4 linked regions of the Tamandua tetradactyla genome follow. The main gene of each other region encodes a partner of the protein of the gene in region 2 in a complex. Links are inferred from orthologs where the notes say so. Each region holds a gene or a part of one and is shown on either strand. Other genes may lie near its edges. The genes, in order: RGS2, GNAI3, RGS10 and RGS8.

Region 1 (7,927 bases), on a different chromosome or scaffold from region 2:
GTGCCTGCCCATGCAAAAAAAAAAAAGGAGGGATAGGGAATTCTCAGTGAATGATATTTAAACAAGCGTTTGAATTTTTGTATTAAGTATATTATGAACTTGGTATGCCAAATTTTCAAAACAGCAGTCAATAGAACAGTATATTCAATAATATATATATAATATATACATATAACTATATACATATGTGTGTGTGTGTGTGTGTGTGTGTGTATGCGTGTGTGTATAGTCAGGAGAGCATCTAAAAAGATGTCAACCCAATCCAATACAGGGGTTGGATCTCCAGCAAAAGCAAAACTCATACAGGCATTTATGGAAAGACATTTTACTCACATACAGAAGAGACAAAGCAAGGTCAGCTTCACAAGCTCCACAAAGTAAGGTCAGCTGGTTCCCCATAGCCAGCAGGTCTCAATCCATGGGCTAAGCAGGGTGCCGTTCTGAAAACAATATCCTTTTTCTTGTGTTTGTGTGCTGCCACAGTGGAGGAACTCCACCCCCTCCCCTCCAGAGACGGATATACCACCTGGATGTTAGCTGGATGTAGTAAAACATGCCCACCTGAAACATTTACATATGCTCAAAACAACAGGGGAAGAAATGTACTAGCAGTCCCCTTACCTACTAGGGATTTGTGTTTTATCCTGCCAGGCTGACATACTTGGTCCTGAGCACAGGATGTATTTGTGGGTCCCAGGGAAAGGCTGCAGGCTGGGATAGAACTGCCCCCTAATACACACACACACACACACACACACACACACACACGTACACATGTAATGACTTTCTACAAATTCAATGCACAGAAATTAAAATCCCAGGCAAAAGAACTTCCAGGAAAAAAAAATACCTAGCCTTGCCTCTTTATTTTGTAGAAAATAGGCCACCTATTTAACTTAGAGCAGTTACTGGTTATAAATAGAGCAACATTTATAAAAAAGCATTTATAACCACTTACTCTCCCCTGGGATTCTGTGTAGCCCAACGTCACAAAAGAGAAAGAAGCAATGAGCATACAATGGAAATAAATCCCAAATTTAGACCTCATATTTACGGTTCTTTAACTTACAGATCTAATAACAAAAAAGCTTAGTGGTATTTCAATATATGCTAGTGTTTTTATTCAGAAAACAATGTAAAACAAAACTTCATGATGTTCCTGTCATTGGTTTCCAAAGGGAATCCAGGTGCTCAGTAAGGAAAGGTCTATTAAATTTAAGTTGGCCCTGCCTGCATTTGAAGATGTACAACTTACCTCATACCATGGATAAATTCATGGTAGAACCAAGAAAGGGTTCTAAACGGAATTATCAATATAAGAATTGATAAAAATTATTAACTCTTCTATAATGCGTGTCAAGTATTCTCTTTAACCTCTCATTCCTGACAAAGACACTAATTTTCTCTCTTTTCAGCTTCTGAATAGGAAACTGCATTGTAATAAAGACATGATTTTTAAATCTCACCTCCTATTGGGGGAAGGAATTGAGTACAGAATCTTGTCTGGTCTTCTGTTCACTGGATGAAAAGAATACCTCACTAACAAAAGTTAAATTTGACGAAAAAAAAAAGGTATCACACTTCCTCAAATATAGTCCACCGAGTACTAAAAGTTTTCATTTTTTCCAATTACTTATCATACCCTTTACTACACAGGGTTTAATTTTCTAGTTTTTTCTTCCTTTTTTTTAACTTACCACACATGAAAGATTTCATAAGGTAAGCGACAGGTTTATAGCCTTTACAAATTCAGGAACTAAGATAACCTAGCTAAAATCAAAGCACAGATTAATAGAAAGTATGATCCCTTTGCGCTTTTTTAAACCATGTATCTTAGCTCCTAAATGTCTAAAACATGGGAGTTATTATGCATAAATATTTTTGCTAGTTATGATTAATAAAACTTGATTAATGATGGCTAGCATAGAGTGGGAGATGGGAAAATAACGGAATATGACAGAGGGGACGCTTGTCATATTTTCCCCTTGGTATTGTTAAAAATTTGTATTTTTTGCATATCTTTTTTGAAATTTAAAACAAATACCAAACAAGCTCAGGAACCACACTGAGAACCTATACCGCTAATGTGTTCAATCAGAAAACCTTTCCAGTAGAGGGCATGGTAGATTCAACCTGAAAAATGGATGGTTATGTCACTCTCAAGCTGCGGTTTAGCTGTGCAAACCTATTCCGCTGTTTCCACCGCAGAATGGAAAATGTGTCATGCTCATCTTGAGCAATCCCATTTACCTAAAAGTCATTATAACAACAAAAACAAACAAAAAAAGACGACAACAAGAAAAGGGACGTCATCAAATGTTGTAGCCTTTCCTTTAATTATAGTACTAAAGGTCTGCTAATCTTTTAAAAAGCCACTTTAAGGAGTACCTTTTTCACAAAAAGTTTACTCAGTCCGTAGCAGGTATTGCCTTAACTCTTAACATTTACATTCAGATTTATCAATCAACCACATAATTTTCAGGGAAAAATAAATTCTGCCATTTAACATCAGTTGTTAATTTGAAAAGGGTTTGTGAAAAAAGCAAATATATTAAACACTTACAGAACACTCAGGATAGTCTGTATTTAAACACCAGTTGTTTACATGCATACATGTATATTCACTTTTGTGACTATGTTGAGATGATTGAACCTCTGTGACTTGGAAATCTCTGATAAGTTGAAATGTTAATGCTTGCTTATTTTCCTGCCATATCGAGAGCACTTATTAAATAGCTATTGTGGTTAATAGTACAATCATAGTAATATTCTTTCATCAATTACAATAAAGGCACCACCCTAATGCAAGGTGATAATGTGGAGAAGGATATATGGGAATTCTGTATTTTCTGCATGAATTTTCTGTAAGCCTACAGCTTCTCAAAAAATTTAATTTAAAACTAACTGTTATAAATTTGATTCTGTACAAATCTCTATGACATTATCTTTCTATCTTAACAGTACTTAAGTATTTATAACCAAATTAGCTGAGTTAATTCTTTATTTTTCCACCATGAATAGCTATATCTCTGAACATTTCCTTTTCCACATATATACAAATTAATAACAAGTTTTGCTATAGCACTTTAGAATTTATAGAGGACTTTCACATAAGATTTGCATGATATCCTATGAGATTAGCAAGAAAGACACATTATTTTCCTTACAGATGAGTTGTTGCTGCTCAAGCAGATGGTGGAGTAACTGCCCCAACAGTTACTTGGTATTTATTGGTTAAGCTGAGAGTCCAGTTAGGTTTTCTAGCACCAAGTCAGCTCTCTCTCCCTGCTGCATCCTTGTTAGAAACCCTACTTTTCAACTGTCTATGAGTGAATTCTACTATTCTAGGTTCCAAGTGAAACAAATATTGAGGTTCATATTATCAAGAAAAGGCAAGTGAAAAAAGAAGAAATGTGAATTCTTTTAGAGCTGAAGGGAATACACTAGAGAAAAATGACATTCTCACATTTCATAAACATTTTATAGCATCTACTACCAAAATCTAACTGATTTTCCTTTCCATAATAGAGTACCTAACTGTTCTCTTTAGTAATGATTGCAGATTTTGCTTCCTCATCAAACATTGAGCTCTAAATACTGAAAAAAGCAAGGTCATTAGTTCCAATTTTCTTTTAACAGTTCTAATGCAAAGTTGGGAGAATATTTGCAGGCCAGCCAATAGCTTGCTGTTAATCTTACTGTGGAATTAGATGCTTGGTGGGAAAACCACTTGAATTTTCCAGTTACATTACAGTTCTGGCAATGCTGTTTTCCAAAATCAAATCATTCTGTGGCTGAGGTGATCTATTTCTCCTTGCTAATTAAGCTACTTTAAAGACTGCAGGAGTAGACAGAGATGAGTTTTTGAAGAACACATGAAACTTACTTAAGCAAACTATTAAATTTTCCTTCCTTTTTCTAATTAAGTGTTCTGGTAAATTCTAAGCCAACCAAAAATGACTCGTGGAAATTCTGCCTACTGGCGAACTTAAACTAGAATGATTCCGGAACATTCCAGCCTCCAGATCTCGATGGTTCCCTCTCTCTCAAGTCACCAAAAAGAGATCAGTGATTCCTGTTTTGGAAAGAGAGGAGGCCTGGGATTCCCTGAGGAATAACCCCGCAATCCCACGAACGTACCCAGCTGTGTCTAGTGGTAGAGCTCAGAATGCAAAAGCAATTTCAGCACTGTCATCTGATAGTCACTTTCTCCTGTTCCCTCCCTGTCTAATGTCCATTCCCCCAAATATTCCAAATGCCTAGGCAAGCTGTAAAACAAGTCACACCATATAAGCCCACGGGCCGTCAAGGTTTCAGGTTTCTCCTGTTCAGTTTCTTCCAGCAAATCAAGGAGAGGCACGAGCGAGAATCTCCCCGGCGCCCGGGTTTACTCCACAGATGGTCTCAGCTGAGTTGCTAGGGAAGTTGTGTAAACAACAAATGCGGCGCAGGCACAGGGCGCGCACTCAAACGAGGAAGAGAAACCTGTTAATTCAATACGAGGCAATGGCACTCTGGCTCGCAGCAAGCCACCTTTCCCTGCTGGGGAATCATCACTCCCGTTCTGGGGATGAGGAACACGTCGGGGGCGGGGGGTAAGGGACGGGGCAGCCCACCCGCACAGCCTCGGATCCCACCAGGTCGCCACCCCGAGCAAAGGTCGCCGGCGACCTGTCACAGGGCGAACTCTCGCCCCACCGCGGCCCCCGCCCAGCCGCCCATTTTGGCTCCACTGCGCACGAAGCCGGGGGCCGCCGACGTCAGCAGCGCCCCCGTTACGAGACCCTTCGCTGGCGGCCGTGACAGCCGCGAGCTCGCGCTGGCCCCGCCCTGTGCCCGTCAGGCGGCCAATCCGCGCCCCCTGGGGGCGGGGCGGGCGCCGGGAGGTTCCGTCCCTTCGCCTCTGCCTCTCATAAATACTGCGGCGCGCGGCCGAGCGCAGGCTGTTGGCTCGAGAGGACGATAATGCAAAGTGCTATGTTCTTGGCCGTCCAGCACGACTGCAGACCTATGGACAAAAACGCTGGCAGCGGCCCCAAGAGCGAAGAGAAGCGGGAGAAGATGAAGCGGACCCTGTAAGTACCGCGTTCTCCTTTCCCCCACCAGCTCCCACCCTGCGGGGCTCGTTCTCCCGGTTTGTGCAAATGCAGTAGAATGGTTTCGGCTTTGACTGTAGGAAACGATATCGCCTGCGTCTCTGCAGAAACAAAAATTGTGGAAAGGTTCATTGGCCAAATTAAGGCTAAATCTGTATTTGGGGGTATATAGTTATTTTGTTGCATGAGCGACGGATGACCAGGTAGTTGGTAGACGCCAGGAAATCGCGGCTTATTTTGTCTTTCTTGTTTTTGGCCCCTGCATTTAAAATGACATCAGAGATTAAATGTCAGCTGCGGCCGAAGCGCGTCCCCAACATTGAGTACTGATCAGCTTATGCAGCTGATGCTGGTTCTGAATATACTCCTTTTAAAGCTATTATTGCCTTTTAATTGAAGAGTAGACCTAACCCACTCACGACTGTGTAACAAACGATTGTTCTGTAGCATCTGCTTAAAATCGGTGCTGTAGTTGAGCAGAGACGAGAGAGAGAAATCACGCACACCTCTTTGTACGCAGCCTTTGGCTTACTTTGGGAATCTCCTGCTTTAAAAGTGGAAGGAAAATAAGTGGGTCTGTTAAAGGCAGTTCCTCTGTTGTTTTCATCAAGGGTGAAATGTCCTAGAGTTGTACCTAGCTTTGCAAAGAAACGGCCTGCCTTTTGCCGGCCAGAAGTAGCACCTGCCCTTTGAAGTACAAGAAATAATTCATTAAAATACCTGGGGACTTTAAGTGATTTAAGGTAGTCCTTCCTTTACTTATAAGACTGTTATGTTCAGATTGATGGATGAAACTGGATTTAACATTAAATGGGTAAAATTTGTCTCACTTGGAGAGAAATTACTTGGTTTTATTTGGCTTGTCTGTAGCTACTGGATGACTTTGGTAGAAATACATTCAGCTGCAGTAGCATTTTCAAGGGTTGCCTCTTAGTGAGTAACCTGGGTTTTGTTTTTGTTTTTTTAAGTTTAAAAGATTGGAAGACCCGTTTGAGCTACTTCTTGCAAAATTCCTCTACTCCTGGGAAGCCCAAAATTGGGAAGAAGAGCAAACAGCAAACTCTTATTAAGTAAGTAAAAAAAATCCTATACTTACAAATACGAATCTGTAGATGCTGGACTGAAAAGAGGAACTCTGATATACACAAGCTAATGTGCAGCGCTTGTCTTGCAGGCCTTCTCCAGAGGAAGCACAGCTGTGGTCAGAAGCATTCGATGAGCTGCTAGCCAGTAAATGTAAGTTAACTTCTTATATTTGATCCATTTCAAGTGTCACAGGAGTCTAGGAAGGTAGTGTCCACTCAACAGAACAGCAGTTTGTCTGATGGGAGTTAGACTGTACAATCACTGTAGCATAAGGCCAATTTTATTCTCATTTCCTATTTTCCGATGTTTCCAGGGTTAAACCATGTTTAACCATATATTCAGTCAAGATGGAGGGAAAATTAGCCTAAAAAAAATTAAAGTGGCAGTTACTCTTAGTTTAAGGGTGAGTCAGCTTTTCCATTGCAGACAATATTTTCTAACAGCTTAGTTCCCAGAGAATTATGGCTCTCCTGTAAGTATTTATTTTGCATTGATAGCAAAGTTAAGTTTTTGTATTTTTATAGCAGTGTGCCACCATAAACAGTTTGCTTGCTGGCATCTTAGCCTTTAAATTAAAGAGCTAAATCTGAGGATTACAAGTTTGAGTGAAATCTAGAAAATTACTATCATCTAGAAGTAATTAAAATATGGGGGGAGGGGAAGTACTACAAATAAAAAAATAAGAGATTATTTGGTCACTCTTTTTTTTCACATTGTGCATGCTTTTTTTTCCCTTCAGATGGTCTTGCTGCATTCAGGGCTTTTTTAAAATCTGAATTCTGTGAAGAAAATATTGAGTTCTGGCTGGCCTGTGAAGACTTCAAAAAAACCAAGTCACCCCAAAAGCTGTCCTCAAAAGCAAGGAAAATATATACTGACTTCATAGAAAAGGAAGCTCCAAAAGAGGTAAAAAAAAATTTAAAAAAATTCCTCCTTCACTAATACAGTGAAAAATATTTTTTAAATCTTTAGCACCAAAGTGAAATCATAACCAAAGGGATGTCAAAAGGATGGGGAGTGATGGTAGGAGGAATCCATCCCCTCCTCCCCATCCTAGTTTTCACTGAAGTTTCTCCAAAGACTGCCTGGGGGAAGCTAATCAGACATTATAGTTTGGGGTTTTAGTTTGTTTTGTTTTTTACAAATACTAAATAGATTTCCATATCTCTAACTCTGAGTATTAACTAAACCAATTTTCTGTTTTATTTCAGATAAACATAGACTTTCAAACCAAAACATTGATTGCTCAAAATATACAAGAGGCTACAAGTGGCTGCTTTACAACTGCCCAGAAAAGGGTATACAGCTTGATGGAGAACAACTCTTATCCCCGTTTCTTGGAATCAGAATTCTACCAAGACTTGTGTAAAAAGCCACAGATCACTACAGAGCCCCATGCAACATGAGATGAAAAAGGGGGCCAAAAAATGGAGAACTTTGCATTATTTTTCCTAAGGGGAAAGGCTGTGATCTGCTCAAAACCCCAACGACTGACCTTGGATTCAGCCTGGGTGTTTAGGAAACATCACTCAGAACTATTGATTCACAGTTGGGTAGTAAATGAGGAAGCTCGTAACAGTGTAGGAGAAGCTTGCATTGAAATGACTTCCCTCACTGTGCATAGAACACAGAGGGAATATGTGCTCTGAATCTGGTGCATCTCCCACTGGAAATGCAGGGATGTGAAGTGAAAGATACCATATGATATAGTTGATCCAGAAGCACTTAAAATCAATAGGTCTGGG
Region 2 (7,348 bases):
ACTTTCGAATTCCAGGCCAGATAGCTGAGGAGACCTCTGAGTTCCTGGAACAGCAACTCACTAGCGACATCATCATGTCGGACAGCTACCTCCATCCTGCCCCCTCACCCCGGCAGGAATCATGATGGGTTACTGGATGTTTGGAGGGAGATGGGGTTGGGGGTTGGTTATGATTGCGAGGACCACCTTGTGGGATCACCTTTTCCCAGCTGGGAGGGGCCGGGACAGGGTCTCTGAACCCATCTTTTGATGAGAATTTCCTGGGTCAAGAACAGAGTCAACAGGTTGGACATATGACAAAAGTCCTTGGACTTGGCTGAGAGCCTTGATGACTGGGGGAGGGAACCCGGGAGTGGTGAGACACTGATGAGAGAAAAGGTCACAAAGGTGAGGTGAAGCCTCTCAACTGGGGAACTTTCCATGCCTCAGGCAGCAGGGAAGCTCTGTAAGGGTAGGATTTGAAGGATATAGGCCAGGTTTGGCCTTATTCTGGGGCCATTCAGAATATTTTATTTTTCAGTGTAATTATCCAGGGCAGTAACTGCACCCAAGCAAAGTAAGAAAATGATCTGTCTTCTCATCTCCTTGGTAGGCTTAACAAGTATTAAATTACAGCCAAGTGTTTCCATTTGAGTTAATAGATGATTTTCTAGTTTTATACCTGATATTTCTTTAAAGTGAGAGAACCAGTTGGATATATTTCTCTCTACCAGTTTTCTGAGTTTTACCAGAAGTAAGGAGAAGGTAGCAATCAGGGTATATGGAGTAGGAAACAGGAAAGCTGACTGCAGCTTCTCTCTTCCGCTCTTCAAGAACAGTCCTTTTGCTCTATTTCCCTGTTTCTCTTCCATGCCTGGAGACCAAGATTGAGGCTTAATCTCAGCAAAGGCAAAAATAAGACAGGGATGGCTTTTTCCCCCCTCATTTCAGAGTCAGAAAGCTGGGGGTAGGGGGACTAACATTTGAATTGCTAAGGTGACTGGGTACAAAGGGACCAGATAATCACCTTGATCAATAATACTGATCACCTTTTCCTTCCAGGAATGACCTCCCTGATCTTTCTCCTCATGGCAGTGACTCCACCTCCAGCCCTCTGGACAATAGGGTACAAGAGACTAAGGTTGGGCATGGGAAAGGTGGGGTTTCCATGGTCCATTAAATTTCTCCCTTTCATTCATCGTGCTCAAAATTAGCTTCATAACAAAAACTTAAATCTCTCTCCAGTATGCAGCTCTGGGTTGGAGACAGGGCACAGGAGTTGGGCTCAGCTTTCCACGGTTTGATTCAGTAGGAACTGTGTTGGTTGGTAGTGGTGGCCAACGCATGGATCAACCAAATTTTCAAGTGAAGGGGAATAACTGCAAACTGGACAGGATGTGGGACTACCTGTCTACCCCATTTCCGTCAATACAGTCAGGTGACACTAAAGAGTCACGGACAGCATGGTGGTGTGTCTGCATTTGAATAACGCCTGACTCAATGTTAATGGGGAAAATGGGATGGTGGGAGTGGGATAGTTTCCCCTTTGAATAGCCAATAAATAATTTTTATTATAAAAGACTATACTGATATCAACATTGACTCTATCAGTTCCACTCAGTGCATAATATTTGGATACCCATATCCCCTGGGACTTACAGAGAGGATGTGTGGTCACTGCCTTCAAGGAGTTCATAGTCTAATTTGATCAGATATATTGTACTTTACAGGGATTTACAGCTGGTAAAGCACTGTAGAAAATATTCAAGAAATAGAGTGGAGAATATATCCAGGGTTCTAACTTTTCAGAGTTGAGTCCATTGCAGCAAAATATCTACACTGAGGCTTACTGCAGATTGTGGAAAGGATGGGGGTTGTAAATGAAAATTCTCTAGTGAAGAAAGTAAAGAAAGGAAACTGAGCAAACCTTCCTTTTCCCCTCTTCACCTAGGAAAATTTCCAGGTTTCTGTCTTCCTACCATTTACTCCTCCAGTTTAGTGCCTACTATATTGAGGAAATCCCTTAGAAAGATAGTATATCCAGGGAGGGGAGTCCTTTGTGATTAAAAACATGTACTTTACTCCCCTCTCTCCTCCATTTTGAGGTAAATTCACACTGAGGAATTTCATTCCTAGATGGTGGGGGGAAACTATTCTTCCTAAAACCCCTGATCAGCTAGTAGACCCTAAGTATTGCCAGCAGGTGGCAGTATGAGTCCAGTGGAAATAGGAAAGGGGCGTATCCTAGGGGTGGTGGTGGGTGGTGTTGGCATTAAACCATTAAACGTCTGGCAGCCATTTTATTAATTTATTTTGCCTTTTCTTTTGGTTTTGCCCTCTAACCTTTCCTTCACATACATCAAAGAAGAAAGTTTTAATTGCAAGGATTTCTCTAGTTCAGACTGAAATTTCCTGACACTGTGATCTCACTAGCGTTTATTATAGTTTGACATATATGGGTTCACTTGCCATTTATTCTTCTCTGTCCAAGGGCATAATGAAAGAGACTCTTCTGTTATGCTGAGAACCTGCCCAACAATTTCAAACATGGTCACTTCCCAGTTTTCTAGTCACCAGAATAACCCGATAAAAATTTAATATGTAATCCTTAGCTCGGAAGCTATTCCTGGACAAAACTTGAACTTTCCAATCATTGAAGAATCAACAGATTGGGGAACCTATCTTGTCAATTCTTTTTGGCTTCCTGGTAGTGTCAGGGTGACTCCCAGTCTTACGTGAAAATTATAGATCCTCTCTTGTCAGATCTTCTCAATTAACGTCATATAGGGGCATGGTAGAAAAGGGGCAAATTTGGAGTCAGATCTAGTACTCACTGTGTGAACATGGGAAAGCTGCTTAATTTTCTCTGAGCCTATTTCCTCATCTGTAAAAATGGGGATAATATTACCTACCTCACAGGGTTGTTGTGAGGATTAAGAGATGAAACATGGAAGCACTAGCCTTACCTGGCATATAGGCACTCAATAAATATTGGTTTTTCTTCCCTTTCCTCTTGCCCTTTTTCCCCAGAAATATTGATTATGAAAAAACTGTCCCTTTCATCCTAAGAGTCAGTCTGGAATGAATGGGAGACTTTTCAAACTTTGAAGAATTGGCATTGATAAGAGTTATGGTGGGTGATGCAGTCTAAGGTGGCTCTCAAGGAATCACTCTAATTAATCAATCACCATATAAACGTTTCTGCTGGGAACCTTAGATCCTAAGGTTTAAATTCTATTAGGGTAATGAAATAATTTTTAATCACAGGCAAAGATTTTGGGATCTACAAAAGAGTCTTCCTCCTGAGAAATTATGGTGAAGACACTGAGGGGGGTATTTGTCAGTGAAAGAAATTTAGGGCATTTTCACACTAGTACTCAGGGTTACCTGTGAAAGGGTATCAGTCTGGGCTTTCACAGGGATTTACTTATCTTCAGGTGACACTTGAGCTGAAAGTCAAGCTTTACTAAAACTTCCCTTTTTGTGTGGTACAACAGGAAATTTTAGGAGTTTTACAGGCCGCAATGGGTGGTTTTGGAGGAGGGGCTGAGGGTGACTAATTTTGGCACAAGTCCTAAGCCCCTAACCCAAGACATCTGTAAACGCTATAATTGGCTTATATTGGGAAGAAGGGCAGCAAGCAAATTTTAAGCAGGAACTACACGCTTAATTTTCAGGTTACAGGGTATCAGTTGGTGATTGCAAATGGCCCTCAGTCAACATAAGAGCTGGGTAATTCCCAAGCCCACAGTGTAAGTAATGGCACAAGGACCACGATACACTTTGAAAGGAGGAGGCAGTGAGTCGAGCAGAGGGCAGAAAGGGATCGCTAACCCCCCCGCACGATTGGTGTTACTGATATCAGATGTGAGGCGTGGCCGGGGCCCAAGCTAGGCAGTTTGTTCCCATCCTATAGAACCTGGCTGAAACGACCCTGGAGGAGGATAGGATCTAAACTTGGGCAGGCCCAGATCTCTACCGCCAGAGAGCAAAGAAGCCTTCCGGTCAGGATCGATAGATTGCACCAGCAAAGCTCTGGGTGAGGGCTAGTCGTTCTTAACCTGGGAATTACACCCCAATCGCCACACCCACCCAGGTCCAAACTCTGCTGTGTGACGTCGGGAGGCCTCTAAGAGCTGGAGAAGCCAAGCCCGGGTTTGTCTATAGTTATGGAAAACAAGCAGCCGAAAAGGGAAAAAGGGACTAAGCTCGGGTGGCGTACAATTGGCTCCACAGGACCTCGCAGCTTCACGAACCACCGCCCCGCGTCGCCTCTATTCCCAGCACTTCCGTTTTCGTTCACCTCTTCTGTTCCCAAGCTAGAGATTTGAAAGGGGACGGCCGCGGGGCGTCTCCGGAAGTGTCGCAAACACCGGATATCCGTTTTCTCCGGGCTCTCCGGGAGCCTACAGAGAGGGCCGCCGCCCAGCAGCAGACGCTGTCTCTGTCGCTCGAACCGCAGTTCCCGCGGTGTGTGAGTGTGTCCGGGCCCTGTCCCCTCTCCCGCCGCCGCCATGGGCTGCACGTTGAGCGCCGAAGACAAGGCGGCGGTGGAGCGGAGCAAGATGATCGACCGCAACTTGCGAGAGGACGGGGAAAAAGCAGCCAAAGAAGTGAAGCTGCTGCTACTTGGTGAGGGTCCCAGGGCGGGGCCGGTGAGGTGGTCGGGAGGGCCTAGACATTTGGGGAGGCCTGAGGCGGGGGCTCACGTCAGGTCAGCGGAAAGTACCCCGATGGGATCTAGAGAGCGCGACGGACTTGGGGCGGGGTGTTGGGGTTGGTGGCTGAGGCCGGGAGGGCGTGATGAAGGGGTGGGGCTTTGGGGTTGTAGGAATTAGGCTGTAGAGGGTGTGACTCCTTGCTGGAATTGCGTTTAGCAAAGAGAATTTGGGAGCGTGGGGCGATAGGATATTTGGACTTTGATAGAAACATGGGACATGCCTAAAGGAAGAGCTGATATTAGGGAAGGTTTTGTATGGGGTTGGTGTATTGAGTGAGGACGCGGTAGAGTATGATGTGTTGGGCTTGTTTAATGGCTTGTGAGTTTTAATGACAGGATAAAGCTGGGAGACTTGAATGATTATTATAAATAGAGAGGCTGGGACACGGTGGTCACACAGGGATCCTATCGTGTTAGAGAGGGAACATTCTGAACTATTTGTAAGGTGGAGGAGCCTTCAGTTATCCAGGAACATGAAGGTAGGTGGTTGAAATGACAAGTTTTCTAGTTTAAAGAAAAAGACCTTGGGTGTTGACGCTATCTTTATACTTTACCCCTTTTTTCTATCATTTGTATTCTTTTAAGGTTTCATACCCCCCCTTTTTTTATAAAGAAGGGTGGATGTTGGTACCAGCTGAAGAATTTAAAGAATGCTTGTGTTTTGACAAAAGAGGTAGAGGGTAAAAGATTACACGTTGAGAGTTGCCGAATAGTTGCTCGGAATAGTGCGCTGGGAATGAAGGAGCTATTTTAGTATAAAATATGGAATTGTACGTTTTCTGTAAAGGTTGTGACAGAGCTCTGTGAACTATTTTTATCTTTTCTGGTCTCTTCAAACCAAAATATTGGCTTTTACTGTTTATGTTACCGGGCATTGGTTTTAAGTGGTTTTTATGTACAGTTGTATGCACTTTACTCAGCATGACTTAGTCTAAAAATTTTTGAGAAACTGGCTTCTAGAGGCTCAATAAATCATATAAGGTACCTTGACGTTAGCTTCCCAAGAAATCAAGCCACATTTCTTCACTATTAGTATTTTCTAGGGATCCGTTAAAGAAGAATAATTAGGAGTAATGATTTCTGTAAGCAGTAGAACAACTTTACTTTTTAAAACATTTGACTTTGGAGCAAAAATAGTTGCTTTAGGGAAAATGCCAAATTTTCTGCCCTGGAGGAGGGAATGCTCCACCATAGCTCTTGTCTTTTTTTGTATTCCAGGATGTGCCTGGTATTCCTGCTTGTCTCTTCTTGTTAACGTATTTGGTTGTTTGTAGGTTGAACAGGCTGTGTTAACAACTTATTTGGACATAGGGGGAAAGTTAGGCACTGGAGCTTGAGCGTCCAGTTTGAATACCCAAACTTTCAGAAAGCATAAATTCTAATTGTTCTAGACTGCCACTATATAATAGATATCATTTGTGGATGAGCACAATCCCTGGCACGTAGTTGATGTTTTTTAAATATTTGCTGTTAACCAGCAAGAGCCAGTTAATGTTGATATTGATCCTGGAGGCCTTTTAAATATTTAATATAAACCACAACACTCAAGGCATTGGCATTTTCTCTATTGATCAGTTGGTTATGAAATTAAAGGTGTATTCTTATCTTCTGTGAGTGTTTTAATTTACATTGATCTTCAGAAATCCTCGCAGGATATTGGCCTATTGTAATGTAGTTATAAACTGTGAGGCATTCTTCCAGATGGCAGGAATTGGCAGGCAGAACTTGGGCGTGCAGAACTTGTTCAAATGTCTAGAAAAATCTTTATTCAGGACTTTATAAATAGTGTATCTAATTAAAAACAAAATCAAACACATGATGACTTAGGGAACTTGTAGAGCAGTGAATAAAAATCAAACTACTAAAACATTTGTTTTGAATTTTTATCAGATTTATTATTTTTTAAGTGTTTTTGTATTCTTGAGCAAGTTCAGATAGCTTGCAGAGAGACGAATGCTCTTGCTTCAACTGTATCATAAGAAACATATGAAATTAAAATGATCTTCCTTGCTATTTCTGTAAGTAGAAGGTACCCGTCATGGTACACAAATAATTCTTTGTCGTAGAATACCTCCTTTGATGTGCGTGCAAGTCATTTTTACTTCATCACTGTGAAACTATAGAACTTAGTTAATTTGAGATCTGTCTACATTACCCTTGTCTCTCCTGGCCCATAATAGGTATTTAGTAAATATTAATTTATTTTCTTCTTTACATAGATGTAGCTTAGCATAGTGCTTAATAACGTGGGTTCTGAAGTCAGACTACTTCAAGTCTTAATTCCCATTTACCAGTTTTAACCTTGGGAAAGTGATTTATTCAGTTTTTTTCTCTCAGTTTCCTCATGGTTAAAACAGAGAAAATCAAGGTTCTTAGATTTGCTATAAGGATTAATTATAAGAATGTAAAGTAGAATACAGCTTGTCAAATAGTACTAGCTCAATGACAATTATTTATTAGTATTTATTAGTATTGTTTGTTAGTATTAAGCCAAAATGAATGTTAGAGATTCTAGATATTAGAGAAATTCAAATAAAGAAACCACTGTGGACAGAATTAGTTAAGGAAGACTTCAGTATTGGCAATTTTTCCTTTGTTATATATCTTTGATGTCTTTAGATGTTTTTGGGAAGCTCTTGATATGTCAAA
Region 3 (7,005 bases), on a different chromosome or scaffold from region 2:
ACAACAACCCTCCGTCCTCCTGGCCTTAAAGCTGCATCTCTTCAATCTCTGCTTTCGTCTTCACGGGGCTGTCCTCTGTGTGTCTTCCTATAAGGACATGCCTTTTTATAAGGACACTATTCATTGACTGTAGGACCACCCTTATTCTGTATGGCCACATCTTAACTAAACACATCTGTAAAGACCCTATTTCCAGATAAGATCAGATTCTAAGGTTCTGGGTGTTAAAGAATTTGGGGGGACACTATTCTCAACCCACTGCACATGACATGAATGTGTGACTTGTGAAATGCAGGGGGATCGAAGATGGGAGAAGCAATTGGTGCCCAATTTGGTCCTTCCTTAGGAACTTAAGAGTTTTAAGAAAGCAAAACTAGTGTTGCAAAAATGGAGGCTTAGATACTCTGTAGAATTAAACCTAGTAGAGATGTTGACCGGCTGCTCACTACTAATTGTTTTCCTGATTTAAAAGTATAAACACTGCAGAAATTTTGCAAAACAGGGACATATATTAATAAAAATTAAAATAAACTATTATCTCATTATCTACCAATGAATGCTAGTAGCATTTTGGTGTGGTTTCCTCCAATCTTTCTACACATGACACGTTATGTATTCCCCCCTTTCCTTGAAATTTTTTTCTGAATTTCTCTCATGATCTTTTCCAGGAAACTTTCATCCTAAGCATTGTTCCACATCACTAAATATTCTTCACACATTTTTTTTTTTGCAACTGTTAAATATTCCATTATAGGAATATACATAGGAATGTAACATAACCATTCCATTCGTGGACATTCACACTTATTATAAATAGCACACATAAAAGGAATGTTATATTGCACAACTTTGCACATAAACCTTTGCATCTCTTATTCTTTCTTTAGCATGAATTACCAGTTGTAGAATTAGCCACAGGACTAACAGGTTTAAACATTTTGAAGGTTCTTATGCATATTGCCAAATATGCATCTTAATGGATCTGCCTCTCTTGCCTTCCAGAGAGGTTGTAACAATTTACTTTCCTTCTTTCATCATGGGGAGTGTCCTTTGCTCCAAATTGTTACTAACCCTGGCAACTTTCTATAATTAAAAAAAAAAAAAGCCAGTTTTCGCTGGGTGTAGGCTAAAGCTTATTATTTATTAATACAGCATTGTAAAGGGAGCAAGAGTAATTCAGATTCCAGTAATTTTTTGAGTGCCTACATGTGCTGGGCACTGTGCCCGATGCTTTCTTGTTTACTGCTGTTGAACACCACACCCTTAGAAGGTAGGTGGTATCTTTTCCTGGTTCAATCCCATGAGGCTCTGTGTTTAAGGACACACAGCTGGTTTGCCACATGGTCAGGTCAAATGCACAGTACTCTTAACTTCAAGTTGAGGACTTATTTATTTACTTATTTTACTAGATCTTACCTGCCTCATCTGGCCTAGAATAAGGTTATTTACATCTATATTCTGTTAATTATATCTATCTGTCCTCACTATAAAATACTCTAAATATATCCATAGCTTACCAAGTTTTAAAGTTCCTGAGTGCAATAAAAATTTCGGAACTCTCAAGTCATGAACACTCTGAAATTCTGCAACACCAGAGGACATCCAGGGCCCTTGCTCTTTGATCTGTCACTGATGGGAAGGCTCCACCACCGGGGGAAGACAGGACAATCTGCTTGTCTTCTTCTTGCCCAAGATGTGGCCAAGATGATCTGTGAGGGCTCAGGAGGTGCTACAGGAAGTGGATGCTGAACTGAGAGGAGTGATGCTATTGGGATAGTGAGCATCTTCAGTCCAAGTGCAAACCATCAGCAGAACTTACTCATGCATTGATTGTGTGTGCACTGCATGTGTTTTCTTTGGCAAGCATTAGAACCTGCGAGGCTTCATATTTTTATACATGGCCTTCTGCACAATCACATTGTAAACTGGCTTTCACATACCTAAGACACTTAAAACAGGTATTCATAGGGATTCTGTGAAAAAGGTCCATGTTCCAAAACAAAAAATTTAAACTATGTATCCTATGCCTCAGTCACTGGTCTTTATGTTCGTACTTACTGTCTGTTAAGCTAGCAGAGCAGTAAAAGTGATTTGACATGGTTATATATTCTCTTTATTTTAGAGAGGCCCAGAGTTCATATTCATAGCATGTGCCACGCCACACCGGGGCTTTTCAGGACAGGGTGTGGTGGACCTGGCATTGAAAATAAAAATTTAGCTGGCTGTGCCTAAGTTTTACCTCATTGTGGTCTGCTCCTTATTTCCTGAGTTAGGATTACTTATAATTTGGTTTTCGGACAACTTTTCTGGAGAAGCATGCTGCACGAATTCCCTTGTTATTATGAGAAGGCGGTGACCTCTTTGGGAACCAGGCCTCTGCCAGTGTTTAAACAATCCTCCTTACAATAGGTGAAACTTCTGCGTATAGTTTTAAGAGGCTGCGTCCGCTTACAACGGATGGACGCCCCTGGTGAGCCCGGCCCCATCGCTCCGAGAGCTCCCGAGGTTTGCCCGCAGCAGACTGGACCCGCTAGGCTCAAACCCAGTTCATCACCACCCGGGGGTCCTCCAGGCCCAGCTGGAAAGCCCCGTCACCTTCAGGAGCCCAGAAACCTCGCCCGGCGGCCGACAGCGAGAGTGCTCAGACTTATCCAGAGAACAAAAAGTCCGGAGGGTGGGAAGGACAGAGAGAGAAATGGGAGTGAACCAGAAAAGGACAGAGATGGGGGTGGGGGGTGGGATGGGGGGAATTGGGATGGGGGTGGTGGTTAGAGGGAGGGAGGGAAATTAGCGGAAGGGAAAGCTTAGAATAGAAGATATAAAAGAAAGTGCCAACTAGTGAGAAAACTGTGAAAGGAAGGGGTGGGGTGGGGGGTGGCGGCGACTGGGGAGCGGTTTAGAAAAATAGCAATTAGTACAGCTAAAAATAAAGACCAATTTAGAGACAAAGCCAGCTACAGAAGGAGAAAAATAAGACTCGCCAAAAACACAATCTTTCGCAAACCAAATGCACAAGAAAATGGGGCTGATGGCCCGCTCTCTTGGGCTATTGTGCAGATGAATTAAGATCATAATGAGAGTGCAGCGCGCGGCGCCGAGCAGGTGACCCGCCCCGGGAGAGGAGAAATCAGGACGAGGGCGCAGCGGGACCAGAGTGATCTGGTTCTTTGAGCGCAAAGGCCCCTCCGGAAGCTGCGTCCACTCGTCCCCAAAGTTAGCGAAGTGCCCCAGTCGGGCCGGTGCACGCGGGAGGGCCGTCGCTCCGCAATGGGACCCGCCGGGTTAGTGCACAATTCCCTCGAGGCCGGCCGCTGGATCCTCAAGGCCAAGGAGCCCGCGCGGCCCTTTACGGGGAGGGTGCCCCTGGAGACGCTCCACCTGCATTAGCGGCCGTGGGGGTGGGGGTGGGGGTGGGGTCGGCGTGCACCGAGCCCGCGGTGGGGGTGAAGGGGCGGTGGGGAAGGGATCCGGGGCGCTGCAGGTCGGGGCGCACCGGGTTCCCTGATCCCGGGGACCGAGCACCCGTCTGCAGGGCGAGCGAGGCCTCTCGTACTCCGCTTCCCGTCTGTGAGCCGGGAGGGATCTCTGCCGGCCAGCCCGCGGGGCTCGGTGGGCCGCAGCCGCGAAGGCGCGCAGGGAGCGCGTTTCCTCCCGGTTGCAGGGAGTAGGTGGCAGGCCGGGGTGGACGCCGAGTGGGGCGCAGGGCGGGCCGGAGCCGGGGCGGCAACTGGAGCGAGGGGCCTGGGGACGCGCGAGCAGCCTCGGCCCGGTTCTTGAAGTCCGGGGCGGCGCGGGCTTCCTCTGGGTGCGGGGTCAGCTCCAGGAGGCCGGGGGACACCGCGAGCCGACCTGCCCCGCCCTGGTACCCAGGGGCCCCGCCGGAGCGGGGGCCGGCAGCGTGCACCAAGCGCGCCACGCGGCGCCTGGCGAGAAGGAGGGTGGCGGGGCGGGGGCGGCGCGCCGGGGCGGTGCTGAGCGCAGCTCCTCCTCCCGGTCGTCGTCGTCCTCCTCCTCCTCGCCTTCCCGGGGCTCTGCCACCGCGCCTCCGGGCTGCTCCTCCTTCCCTTCCCGGGCGCCGGCGGCGATGTTTAACCGCGCCGTGAGCCGGCTGAGCAGGAAGAGGCCGCCGTCAGGTAAGCGAGCGGCTCCGGGGACCCCGCGGGTGAGGGGTCGGGCGCCGCCCACCACAGACATCCTTCCCTCCCTCCGGGGCTCGGGCGCGGCTCGCCTCTGCCGCCCGACGGCAGCCCCGACAGACGCGCCACTTCTCACCGCTGCGACCCGCGGCCTCGCGGTCGCATCCGCGACGACAGCGCAGAGCCCGGGAGATGCGCTCCGGGGAGGAAGTTTGACTGAAAGAGGAACAGCAGCCGTTTTCTTTTTAGTGAGCGTCTGGGAGATAAAGGAGATGCGAAACTTCCCCGAAACTTTGGAGGTGGTGTGGGATCTGGGTTCCTTTCTGGACTTCTCTGTCCCCGCTGCCGGCGCTGGTGGGAACGATGCTCGATGGGCGCCCGGAGGAGGCGCGGCTGGACCGCGGGCATCCAACGCGCAGCCTGGCCTGCAGCGCCGCGGGCCTTCAGTTCTGCCCTGCGGAGCCGAAATGGGGAGCTGTGAAGGTGGGCGAACGACAGATGGAGAAGGAGCCATCTGTAGATCGAGCGGGAGAAGCGCTGGTGTTTCGAAGGATTCGGCCTGGCTGTCACGTTCTGAACCTGCCTGAGTTCCCATTTCGAGCAACTTGATAGGGCAGAGAACCCACGGTGAAGATTACACCATACGCTTGATTCCAAAAGCCTCTTACCTTTTTCGTTCATAACAATAGCTGCCAGCCTTTGGACGCTTAATGTGGGCTGGGGGCTGTATCCACCACGTTCTATGACTTGTCCCTTCACCCCTAGAAGGCCCTGGAAGATAAGTATTGTTAGTGCCACTGATTGAGGACGAAACTGGAGCCCGGAGCTGTTAGGTACCTTGCGGCAGATCACGTTCAAACCCTGGTTTGCTTGGCTCCGGAGTTCAGAGGCTTTATTCCAGGATTTGCTTCTGCCTGGTACTGAGAGTCGGTACATGTTATTCTGGGCCCTTACTTCACTTACCGTGTTTTATGAGGGGCATTGTGGTTAAGAGTATGGACTGCTAAAGGATTGCCTGGGTGGAATCCCACCTCCAACCCCTTACAGCCCTGACCTCTCCGTGCCTCCCTGCAGATAAAGATCTGCAAAATGGGCACAATCATAGTTACCCTTCTTTAAGCACTTAATTGGAGCAGCCACCAATTATACACCACCCACCAATTTATGCAAATCATCCCATTAAATATAAGTGCAGTCTTCATAGGGTTATTGTAAGGAGCTTAAATTGTTGCCCAACACACAGTAAGTGCTGAATTAGTGTAATTGTCCCGTAAGCATTTTCATGTTGCATTTGAGTTAAAGGATTCTCTTTTGAGTGTGAATTCTATCCCTCGCCTATTGTTGGGCATTCACGGGATTGGACGGAGCCAACACTGCATCCTTCATTCTCAGTCCAGCCACCCTGAGCAAATTACCTGAGCTCTCTGTGCCTCTGTTTCCTGAGTGTGCTGGAGCTGGCTCACACTGGCTTGTGAGAATCAGTTACAACTAGAACTGAATTATGGGAGAAACGTGGTTTGGGGATGCTGTTGCCTGCGGCCAGATTGCTCCCCAGGAAGACCAGGGGCAATTTTAGGGACATCAGTGGAACGTACCTCTCTCAGGTAACACATTAGAAGGCTGATGAAATGTGGTTTGGTCTCTGGTAGATGGGGCAGTAGCAAAGCTTCTAGATCACTGTTGGATGCCTGGACTCTGGGAGCCCAACTTCCTTGAGATTTTTTGGTTTAAAGTCTGTCCACCTGATGGGAAGGGACAGGTGAGCCACTGACCAGTTTGGTCATCACTGAGCAACAGGACAGGAAGGGACCAAGTAAGAAGAGGGCAGAGTGAGCCCAGAGGTGGGGTTACTGGGAAGCCAGCTGTGTGGCCCCTCACTCACATGTGCCCCTTCCAGGCTCTGTAGTTTTTTTTTTTTTTTTTGTAATCTTGAATTATTCTTCCTAAATAGGGCTCCCCAAATTATATAAGTTCCAGGCCCCGCGTTTAAGCAGGACCTCTGATTTAGGCCTGGTTGTGATCCTGGTTCCTCCAGCACTTCCTGCTTTAGACCTTTCATGCTTTTCAGCAAAACCCTACAAATGGCAATGTCTTTAGGGTGAGGGTTCTCAGTCCTTAACCCCTCCTTCCAAAGTTCAAAGTGGGGTTCCTCTATTCTTTCTTCAAGGTTCCTCAAGTGTGTCCCACCAACCATGTCGGGTGTGGAGGGGCTTGATAAAATGCAGCTTCCCAGGCCCACTGACTCAGTCTTGAGGACGAGGGGGAGAGGAGGGTGCATTTTCAGCAAGCCCCCCCCCAATCGAGTCTTGTGCCACTGAGGTGTGATGATGCCCAAGGATTCTGTCTACTCACCCTGCTCCCCCCACCCAAAGACTTGCCCTGGAAAGCTGCTCACCTGAAAAAACAAAGTCCAAGCTATATCCCCCCCAACCCCCCAACCGGAAGGGTGGTAGTGGGGGACCAGGAGTCAGGGGGTGGGGGAAATGACCTGTCAGGGGAATTCCCACACCTGCCCTCCACCCTGCCCATTTCACCTTGGCCATTAAACCCTTGGGAACATTTTCAGGTTTATCCCCAGTCTTGTTGTAGTTGTTGTTGTTTTTTTGGTGGGGTGCATGTTCCGGGAATCAAACCTGGGTCTCCCGTATGGAAGGTGAGCATTCTGCCACTGAACCACCCGTGCACCCATGTTTTTAGTTAAAAACGACAGCCCGCATAGCAACTCAGTGGCCTTGTTTTAACAACCCAGCAGCTGGGCGGCCTTGGCAGTTGGGAAAACCTTCCCTGAGCAAAGTCACTGGCCCGGGTCTGCTGCTTAGGCAGGGAGAAGCGGGCCTGTCTGCAGGGACAGGGTGGCAGGGCCAGGGGC
Region 4 (7,265 bases), on a different chromosome or scaffold from region 2:
TGAAAGAGTGCTGAGAAAGCTTTGGAAAGGAGGCTTTTGTTTTGTTTTGTTTTGTTTTGTTTCAGTTTGGAGGTGTTGTGCTTAGAGAAGGAGCTGGGAGTTTACAAGCAGATCCAGGGTGAGGACATTCTGGGCAGAGGGAACAGCCTGAGGAATGAGGCCTGTGTGTGTGTGCGTGTGCGCGTGCATGCGTGTGTGTGTGTGTGCATGGGTGCATGCATGCAAGGGGATATAAGACTGGACAGGTAAATGGGACCAATTTATGGATGGCTTGGAGTATCTGGCAGGACAAGGGGCTGCAGTGGGGCTCACTAAGGTTCTCACACAGATGAATCACTTAACGGTATCTGTCACTTGAAGGTGTCAGCCTTGTAACTTTGTTGTGAGAATTAAATACAAATGCAACTGCTTTGTTTAGCATAGTTCCAGTCACATAGTAAGTGTTCATTAAACATTAGCTTTGTGCCTGCGTCCTAAGGAGGATTATTCCCCTGACAGTGGGTGACTATGGCTGTAGTGTACTGTCTGAGAAGGTTTGTGGGGGCTGGGGGGAGACCGAAGGTGGGAAGATCATTTATTTAGGAGGAAGTGGGGAGGGCATGCACTGTGCCGAGCACTGAATAACCTCTGACGCTGCAGTGTCGATGGATGTTCAAGAGTGAAGTTGAGAAATATTTTGGAAATGTAATGGCAAGAGCTGGAAACCGATTCAGCAAGGGGAATGGAGAAAAAGAAGCCAAAACTAAACTGCAGTGTTTAGCCAGAGGCATTAGGACACAAGGATGTCATGAACACAGATGAGCTGGGAGGCTGGAGGATTTGAGGGGAAAGGCGGTGGTTTCAGATTCATTAGAACCGCAGGTTTGGAGGCGTAGGGAGCTGTCCAGCAGACCTTTGCAAAAGCAGAATGGGGCTTAAGAGAGGCAGGATCAAAGCACTGATTCTGGAATGCAGCAGTGTATAGAACGGGAGCCTGTAGAGCAGCAAGTGCAAAGGTGAAGGGCAACCTGAGAAGCAAGAGTGGGGCTTGAAATCATTGTTTTCTGCGGGAAAAATGTGAGTCGTGGCCAATTGATATGGCATGTTCCCAGACTTCAACCAACAACTGAGGGCCAGTACCCTGATAAGAATCCAGAACTCTACATCCCTGGGCCCAGGGAATTCAGAGTCTGAGTAGGTGAGTTCATTTCTGATAAACATGCCAACCTACCTCCCTTTTCCTGATTGAAGGAGTCCCAGCTCTCCTCGCCTCTCTTACTGGTCCCTCCAGAAGGAAGCCAGTGCTACCATGCTCAATTTAGGTTTAGCTTGATAACCAACCCCCTTCCCCCTTGTTCCCAGAGTTCTTTCTGCACCTGCCTCTACGGGCAGGTTCAGTTAGAGACCTCCGACGAGAAGGGGCTGGACTGGGTTTGTGCCTTCCAAATTGGGGCACCTTGTGGTTACTCCTTGGCAGTTAAAAGTGTTTTGGTTAAAAGGTTTGAACTAGTTTTAATTTTCTCTTTTTTTGCCCATGCTGTATGTGTGTCAATACACTCTTGTCCTTCCCCTCTTTTTTCCCACTCACTTCCTTTAAACTTCACTAATTACCATATCTTTCCTTAAACATTTTGGGTGGGTTTATTACCTTTCTGGGACGACATTATTTCTCTAAAGGCTAATTCAGATTCCGATGACTGGAAATATTTGTCAGCTTCCCCTAGAGCCCGTCTGCTGCTCTCCCCTATCCCCTCAGTGGCTTTGATTCCTGGATATCAGACTTGAGGAAAACTTTATTCAATCACTTTAGCACTGATAGAGAAAAGTCCCACAAAGACACTATCTTTGTGTTAAAGTGGTTCAGTGGCTGGAGGCACCAGGTTTGGTATCAGACATCAGATCTGCCGCTAATTTATGACTTGTTTCTGGTTTTTCTCATCTGTAAAACGGGGATGATAAAGGTATCAGCCCTTGCAAGTTTGTGATGAGAATTAAATAAGACAACATGAGCACAATGCTTAGGACAGTGCTAGCACATAGTAGGTGCTCATTAAACATTATGTGTGTGGGTGCAGGAGTGGAGTCTCCTTATGGTCTAAAAATAGCTTGGGTTAGGTAAGTACTTGTCAAAGGGCTTTTATTCACCAGTTGACCTGTGTACTCATTTCTTATGGTACAGTGTGTCAGGAAAATGTCCAGAAGTGAAAGATCCTTTTTCTGCTTAAGTTCTAAACCCCAGCTAGCATTACAGTTCAACGGGTTTCCATGAGGAATGGAAAACTCTCATTTTATAACACCAAGCCTCCTTTGCCTAATAGAGGGGCACCGTGGACATTGTCAGAGAGAGACAGCGAGTCACTGTGGAGGCAGCATCAGAATTTTTATTTCATCCTATTAGCAGGCAATGAGTAGTCGTGGCAGAATCATTTCACTGCACAAATACAGATTATGCACCACTAGATCTGACAGGAAAAGCTGCGTCCTAGCATGGCGTAGTAGAAAAAGCTCTGCTGTAGGAATCATAAGACACAAGTTCTGGTCCTTGTGCTGTCTCTAACTTGTTGTGTTACTTGGAAAAAAGTACTTGACCTTTTCTAGCCTCAAGTTTCTCTTCTGTAGCACAGGGATAATAATACCGTCTTCCACTGTGGTATGGGATTGCCACAGGAATGTCTTTTACATTGTAAAAGGTTCAACAGATGTAAGCTATTATCTTTATTATAAAGCCATCACTTTCTGTAAAAATTTCTGCTGCCTCTAGAAAATACTGCCTTCTGGGTTTCAAAATGACTTGCAACAAGGCGAGGCATATTTGGAGCTAGTATCTGAGTGGGAGCAGGAGATTCAGCCTTAGAGGCCAAGAGAGTAATGACGAGAAGGTAAGCTTTATTCTAGGGCAGTGGTTCTCAAACTTTCACATGCCTCAGAATCGTGTGATGGTTCTGGAGGGCTGGACCCCATACCCAGAGTTTCTGAATCTGTAGGTCTGGAGTGGGGCGTGGAAATTTGCATTTCTAGCATCTTCCCAGGTGATGTTGATGTTTTTGGTCCAGGGACTACATTTGCAAAATCAGTGAACTAGGGCAAACGAAACAAAGATTCTTCTTTCTGGGACTGAAATAGTCAGTCTGAAGGTCTATGTGAATAAGGAAGATGGGAGGGAAAAAACAAAAGCCAGAAAAATAGGAGTACCATGCAGATTGGGCAGAACAAAGGAAAAAGTCTCACTCTGTAACAAATGCAAGTAGGGGGAGTTGCTAGGTGATGGATGAGAGAGAGGTGAATTTCCACTGTAGGAAAAGCCAGGTTAGAGGCAAGAGCTCAGAATTGGAAATATGCATGTTTGGGGAGGCTGAGGTGGAAATGTCTCATTAAGAAATGGGGAGGGGTGTAGTTGGCGCTGGGGTGGGGTGGGGGGAAGAAGTGGGAATGGGCAGGGAGAGAAATGCCTTTGTAGAGTATGGGGGACAGCTGAGATGTGGCAGAGGGGGTAATTTCAGGGCTGTGCAGTTTGGCTTGGTAGAGCGGCGTGATAGAAATTGGGAGAAAGGGGGTGGAATTTAGATGTGTGACCTGCCCCGTAGCTTTCTTGCTCTCTGCATTTATCACATCACATCACACCCAGCAAGACAGCCCCCACCCCCCCCCCCACCCCCTTCCTGGCTCATTAGGAGATTTGATTCGGCTTGGCTCCTGCCGTCAGCAGCTGTCTGGGGCAAGATCTTTATGCTCCCTGCTCCCCGAGCACCAACCAGCCTTCAGCTAGCAGCAGCAGAGCTCATTAGGAGAGCACCCTGGACACTTGATTTTCAGCCCATTGGTGGCCAGAAGGAGTTAACACCTCCAGCCTCGCTGCCCTCTGCACAGCCTCTGGGTGTAGAGGAAGGCGGCTTTGGGTAGTGGTGACTTCTGCCTGAGCTGCAGCCAAAGGAGCAGGGAAGCGGGTTGGTGAGGCTGAGGAGGAAGGTGCGGGAGCAGTGCCAGGCGAGCTCTGCTGGGGGCACCTCCTGCATCCCGCCAATGAGGACGGGCGGGTAGACTGTGCCTGGAAGCCGAGCCGCCCGCTGGGTGTAGGCTGCTTCAGGATTTACTGGATGTGAGGAGCGGAGAGAAGAGCTTTCAGCGGAGCTGCTGGCTGCCTGGCTCAAGCGGTGGGAGGTGGGTTGTGCATGTGCGTGTGCCTCTGCATGTGCCTCGGCGTGCATGCACACAGGCCCTTCACCGCCAAGGATTTGACTGCTAAAAGAAAAATCTGCTCTTTCCCCAGAGCTCCTTAACTCGCAGCCTCTCTGATCATCCAGTTGGCAGGGACCCGCAGGCCATGAGGACTGGTCAAAGACAGTGAGTATTGCTTTTGCTTTTCCTCTTTCCTCTCCAGGGTGTCTGTGTGGGCTGATTGCATTATCCATATTTAATTAACCTGCCTCTCCATGCATACTGATTGCTTTCTCCCCTCTGAGGCTCTCAGTTTCTCTTCCCCTCTTTATACATCTTTGCGCTTAGCTTTTAACCTTTGTTTTTTCTTTAAGTATCCTCTTTTCTATTATGTCCTATCCTTTCCACCCCAGAGTCACCTATAACTTGATACCCACCCACAAGAGCATATGGGCTGTGTGTGCAATCATGTCCTTGGCCTTCTGGATTTTGGGTAATCTCAAACTGTGTGCCCCATGAGTCTAGGGCCACATGGGAGAACCGCCCGAGACACTGGGATGGACAAGGAAGCTGGGGTCACAGTGTACTGCTGATTCTTATTTAAAGGAGTCCAAAGCTGAGCTCATCAAAGAGATGGTGGGGGGTCTGAGGGGCAGCGATGGACAGGGCTAGATCCGGAAGAGAGAGAAGCAGGCAACCAGTGCAGGCTGATGGTGGGGATGGGAGGAGAGTGAGGACGCGGGGATCCCCGGCTCCAAATGACCTTGTCTGCTCTGCTCAGTCTGTGAGTAGCAGTCCCTGGGTCTGCTTAGCTCCCAGGAACTGAAGGACCCGGGTGTGGTAGTCCCTCTTCCTTAGGGGGGGCTATATCCCACAAGCCAGAGAGAGTGATGCTTGGGTGCCCCAAACATGATTTCTGAGGATCCCCGTAGAAGTAAAGGGTTTTGATTCCCTAACTACTGGGCAAGCAGGGCGTGGGCCTGGTTAGGACAAAGATTTTAGGAGGCACCCCTGCTGTTAGGCAACACCATCCGTGCTCAGTCTCCTGAGGAGGAACCTTTGCAAAAAAGTCTGATTTGGGGGAGGGTTTGACAAAGCCACCTCTTCATTTTATTAATTATAGCATTATCAAAGAAGTAATTTTTAAAAGTATTTGTGAAATGTTCAGGGTAATATCAAAATAACTTAAATGGCATAGCTCCAACAGGAGGAGCCTTCTCTATCTAAATTAGGTTTCCTTTAAAGCGATTCTGTGTTTGGTGTGCAGTTCCCCAGGGATCCCCTTTATGGATAGGCTGATCTCTTCACGGGTTTCTCCCCATCGCTTACCTTCTGTGGGAACAAAGGGTTTGAAGCACAGAGAATGGGACCCTCAGGAGAGAGAGATTGTAAGTCAATCAGCCTTCAACCTCGTGTCCCCTTTCCTGATGTCCCTCCCTGCTCTGGGTCAAGAACGGGCCTGTCCCCGGGCTCAGGAAGGTCCGGTGGCCTCCAATGAGCAAGAAAGAGAGGCTTGCATATTCATCTCTTCAGCCTGCACATGTGCTCCTTGCACAGGAACAAGCCTGTGGGGTGACAGGGCCCGGCAAGCCTCCGTTGGAGTTTCCCCATCCTTCCTCCCTCTCCCGCCTCCCCAAAGCTTCACACACTCTCACCTTCTGGAACAGTCGGAGGGAGGCAAAATCAGAACTGCACCCAATCAGATCATTTCAGAGCAAGCGCTCGCCGCCCAGCCCCCTTTCTCCCTTTGCTGGCTGGTCATTTGGGCCCCCTCTCTAGTAAGAGAGAGGCGTGGTAATTTTTGGTGTGCCAGACTCATCCTTTCCCTGGGGCACATGTCCCATTTTACCGTTGATGTCTGGGGTTGGAGAAATGACAGCTCCTGTGAAGCTACTTAACAATTTGTTCTTATCAGTCCTTGGTTGGTCTCTCACCGACCAGAACCCCCTGCTGAGGTGCAGTAGACCTTTTTAGGGAATGGGATGTGTATGTGTGCGCTGGTGGTGGTGGTGGGGGTTCCTATGGTGGAAAGCCATTTGAGAGGGTCTATCTAGTGCAGTCAGATAAGAGAGGGTCCCCCCCCCCTTACAGCAGATTCTTTGATTTTAGGTGAGAGGACGTGAAAGGGCAAGCCCTCTGCCCTGCAGTCTTATCTCCTGTCCTGACGCCCCTGCAAGCCAGCTAAAGGGTTAACCATAAGTGGATGCCTGTATGGCTGCCTTACTGATGCCACGGAGGTAACTGATCAATAAGCTGTTTCCTTGCCCTGCCCTTTCCTCTTTTCTCCAACTTCCCACCTCCCCTGCTGCTTGAGCCTGGCCCAAGCGTTCGAATTCCATGGGTGATCCACCTGCGTCCCTTCCCCTAGGCTTCCTCTTGTGCTGTCTTCTTACTTGGTGTGTTTCTTGCAAAGTTGTGGCCTTGCAAGAAGGAACTGCCTTCGTTCCAAGCCTCCCACTGACTGGTGCGATGCCTTGGCAATGACTTATGGGTTGGGATGAAGGACTGTGCATGAGCTCGTCTTGAACCATTTAGGCACCTCTATGAGTTTACTGGGACAGGAGCTGCGGGGAGAAGAAAAATGAGGACAAGCCAGCCTCGTTTTCTAAAAAAAAAAAAATGTAATTTTGACCTTTGGCTCTTGCATTTGCTTTGGTTATTTCAGACCTAACATATTTATAACTGAGAGCTCAGCTAGATAAGATGGAAAATGAAAAATCATTTTGTCCCAAAGAATATCTCGTTGAAAATTTCGACAAACTATGCGGGAGAATCACAATTGTTCTGGTGACAAGGAACTCCCTTTACACTGGCCCCTCTAAACCTTGTTAAATAGCAGGCAGGAATTTGCCACTTTTTGAAAGTCCTTTTAATTGCTTCTTGGGGGCAGTGACCTGACTGTTTTATGATTGATGATTCTGAGACACAGAAAAATGAACCAACTTGCTGAGAGTTGAGTTCTGGCCTATGGTGCAGCCTGAGCAGGACCCTTGCTTGAGTTCACGGGCTGTGTCATCGCATCCTGTGATTTGTAAGAGAGAGCAGATGCATTAGATGTTCCCCGCCTCCAGAGCGAGACTGGCCACAGCTGATGCTTTGAAATAGATGGCTTCACAGTGCGGCTTGGCTGA

The links.
Region 1: the proteins of GNAI3 (region 2) and RGS2 are in contact, whole or in part, in a crystal structure (PDB 2V4Z), measured with the Homo sapiens proteins. The link is inferred for Tamandua tetradactyla from reciprocal best matches to the Homo sapiens genes GNAI3 and RGS2. Residues at the interface, in NP_006487.1 of Homo sapiens: Val179, Lys180, Thr181, Thr182, Gly183, Ile184, Val185, Gln204, Ser206, Glu207, Lys209, Lys210, His213, Ala235, Glu236, Asp237, Glu238; in NP_002914.1 of Homo sapiens: Glu104, Phe105, Glu108, Asn109, Glu143, Ala144, Pro145, Glu147, Ile148, Asn149, Asp151, Phe152, Leu180, Asn183, Ser185, Arg188.
Region 3: the proteins of GNAI3 (region 2) and RGS10 are in contact, whole or in part, in a crystal structure (PDB 2IHB), measured with the Homo sapiens proteins. The link is inferred for Tamandua tetradactyla from reciprocal best matches to the Homo sapiens genes GNAI3 and RGS10. Residues at the interface, in NP_006487.1 of Homo sapiens: Val71, Val72, Ser75, Glu115, Val179, Lys180, Thr181, Thr182, Gly183, Ile184, Val185, Gln204, Ser206, Glu207, Lys209, Lys210, His213, Ala235, Glu236; in NP_001005339.1 of Homo sapiens: Glu62, Phe63, Ser64, Glu66, Asn67, Ala102, Ser103, Ser104, Gln105, Val106, Asn107, Val108, Glu109, Gly110, Leu137, Lys139, Tyr140, Asp141, Ser142, Arg145.
Region 4: the proteins of GNAI3 (region 2) and RGS8 are in contact, whole or in part, in a crystal structure (PDB 2ODE), measured with the Homo sapiens proteins. The link is inferred for Tamandua tetradactyla from reciprocal best matches to the Homo sapiens genes GNAI3 and RGS8. Residues at the interface, in NP_006487.1 of Homo sapiens: Glu65, Gln68, Ser75, Val179, Lys180, Thr181, Thr182, Gly183, Ile184, Val185, Gln204, Ser206, Glu207, Lys209, Lys210, His213, Ala235, Glu236, Asp237, Glu238; in NP_001095920.1 of Homo sapiens: Thr76, Glu77, Phe78, Ser79, Glu81, Asn82, Ala117, Pro118, Glu120, Val121, Asn122, Ile123, Asp124, Phe125, Gln126, Arg128, Leu153, Lys156, Asp157, Ser158, Arg161, Arg164.

Annotation. Positions count from the first base shown.
Region 1 is NC_135330.1:48,612,445-48,620,371, forward strand, and holds the start of RGS2 (regulator of G-protein signaling 2), read left to right. Parts: upstream 1-4,920; 5' UTR 4,921-4,965; coding exon 4,966-5,075; intron 5,076-6,064; coding exon 6,065-6,166; intron 6,167-6,270; coding exon 6,271-6,332; intron 6,333-6,921; coding exon 6,922-7,088; intron 7,089-7,393; coding exon 7,394-7,588; 3' UTR 7,589-7,927. UniProt on the Homo sapiens protein: Regulates G protein-coupled receptor signaling cascades. Inhibits signal transduction by increasing the GTPase activity of G protein alpha subunits, thereby driving them into their inactive GDP-bound form.
Region 2 is NC_135337.1:13,327,864-13,335,211, reverse strand, and holds the start of GNAI3 (guanine nucleotide-binding protein G(i) subunit alpha-3), read left to right. Parts: upstream 1-4,345; 5' UTR 4,346-4,493; coding exon 4,494-4,611; intron 4,612-7,348. Other genes in the region: GPR61 (G-protein coupled receptor 61), read left to right, coding at 1-125. UniProt on the Homo sapiens protein: Heterotrimeric guanine nucleotide-binding proteins (G proteins) function as transducers downstream of G protein-coupled receptors (GPCRs) in numerous signaling cascades.
Region 3 is NC_135339.1:81,985,965-81,992,969, reverse strand, and holds the start of RGS10 (regulator of G-protein signaling 10), read left to right. Parts: upstream 1-4,002; 5' UTR 4,003-4,084; coding exon 4,085-4,133; intron 4,134-7,005. UniProt on the Homo sapiens protein: Regulates G protein-coupled receptor signaling cascades, including signaling downstream of the muscarinic acetylcholine receptor CHRM2.
Region 4 is NC_135330.1:37,511,784-37,519,048, reverse strand, and holds the start of RGS8 (regulator of G-protein signaling 8), read left to right. Parts: upstream 1-4,250; 5' UTR 4,251-4,320; intron 4,321-6,243; 5' UTR 6,244-6,345; coding exon 6,346-6,371; intron 6,372-7,265. UniProt on the Homo sapiens protein: Regulates G protein-coupled receptor signaling cascades, including signaling via muscarinic acetylcholine receptor CHRM2 and dopamine receptor DRD2.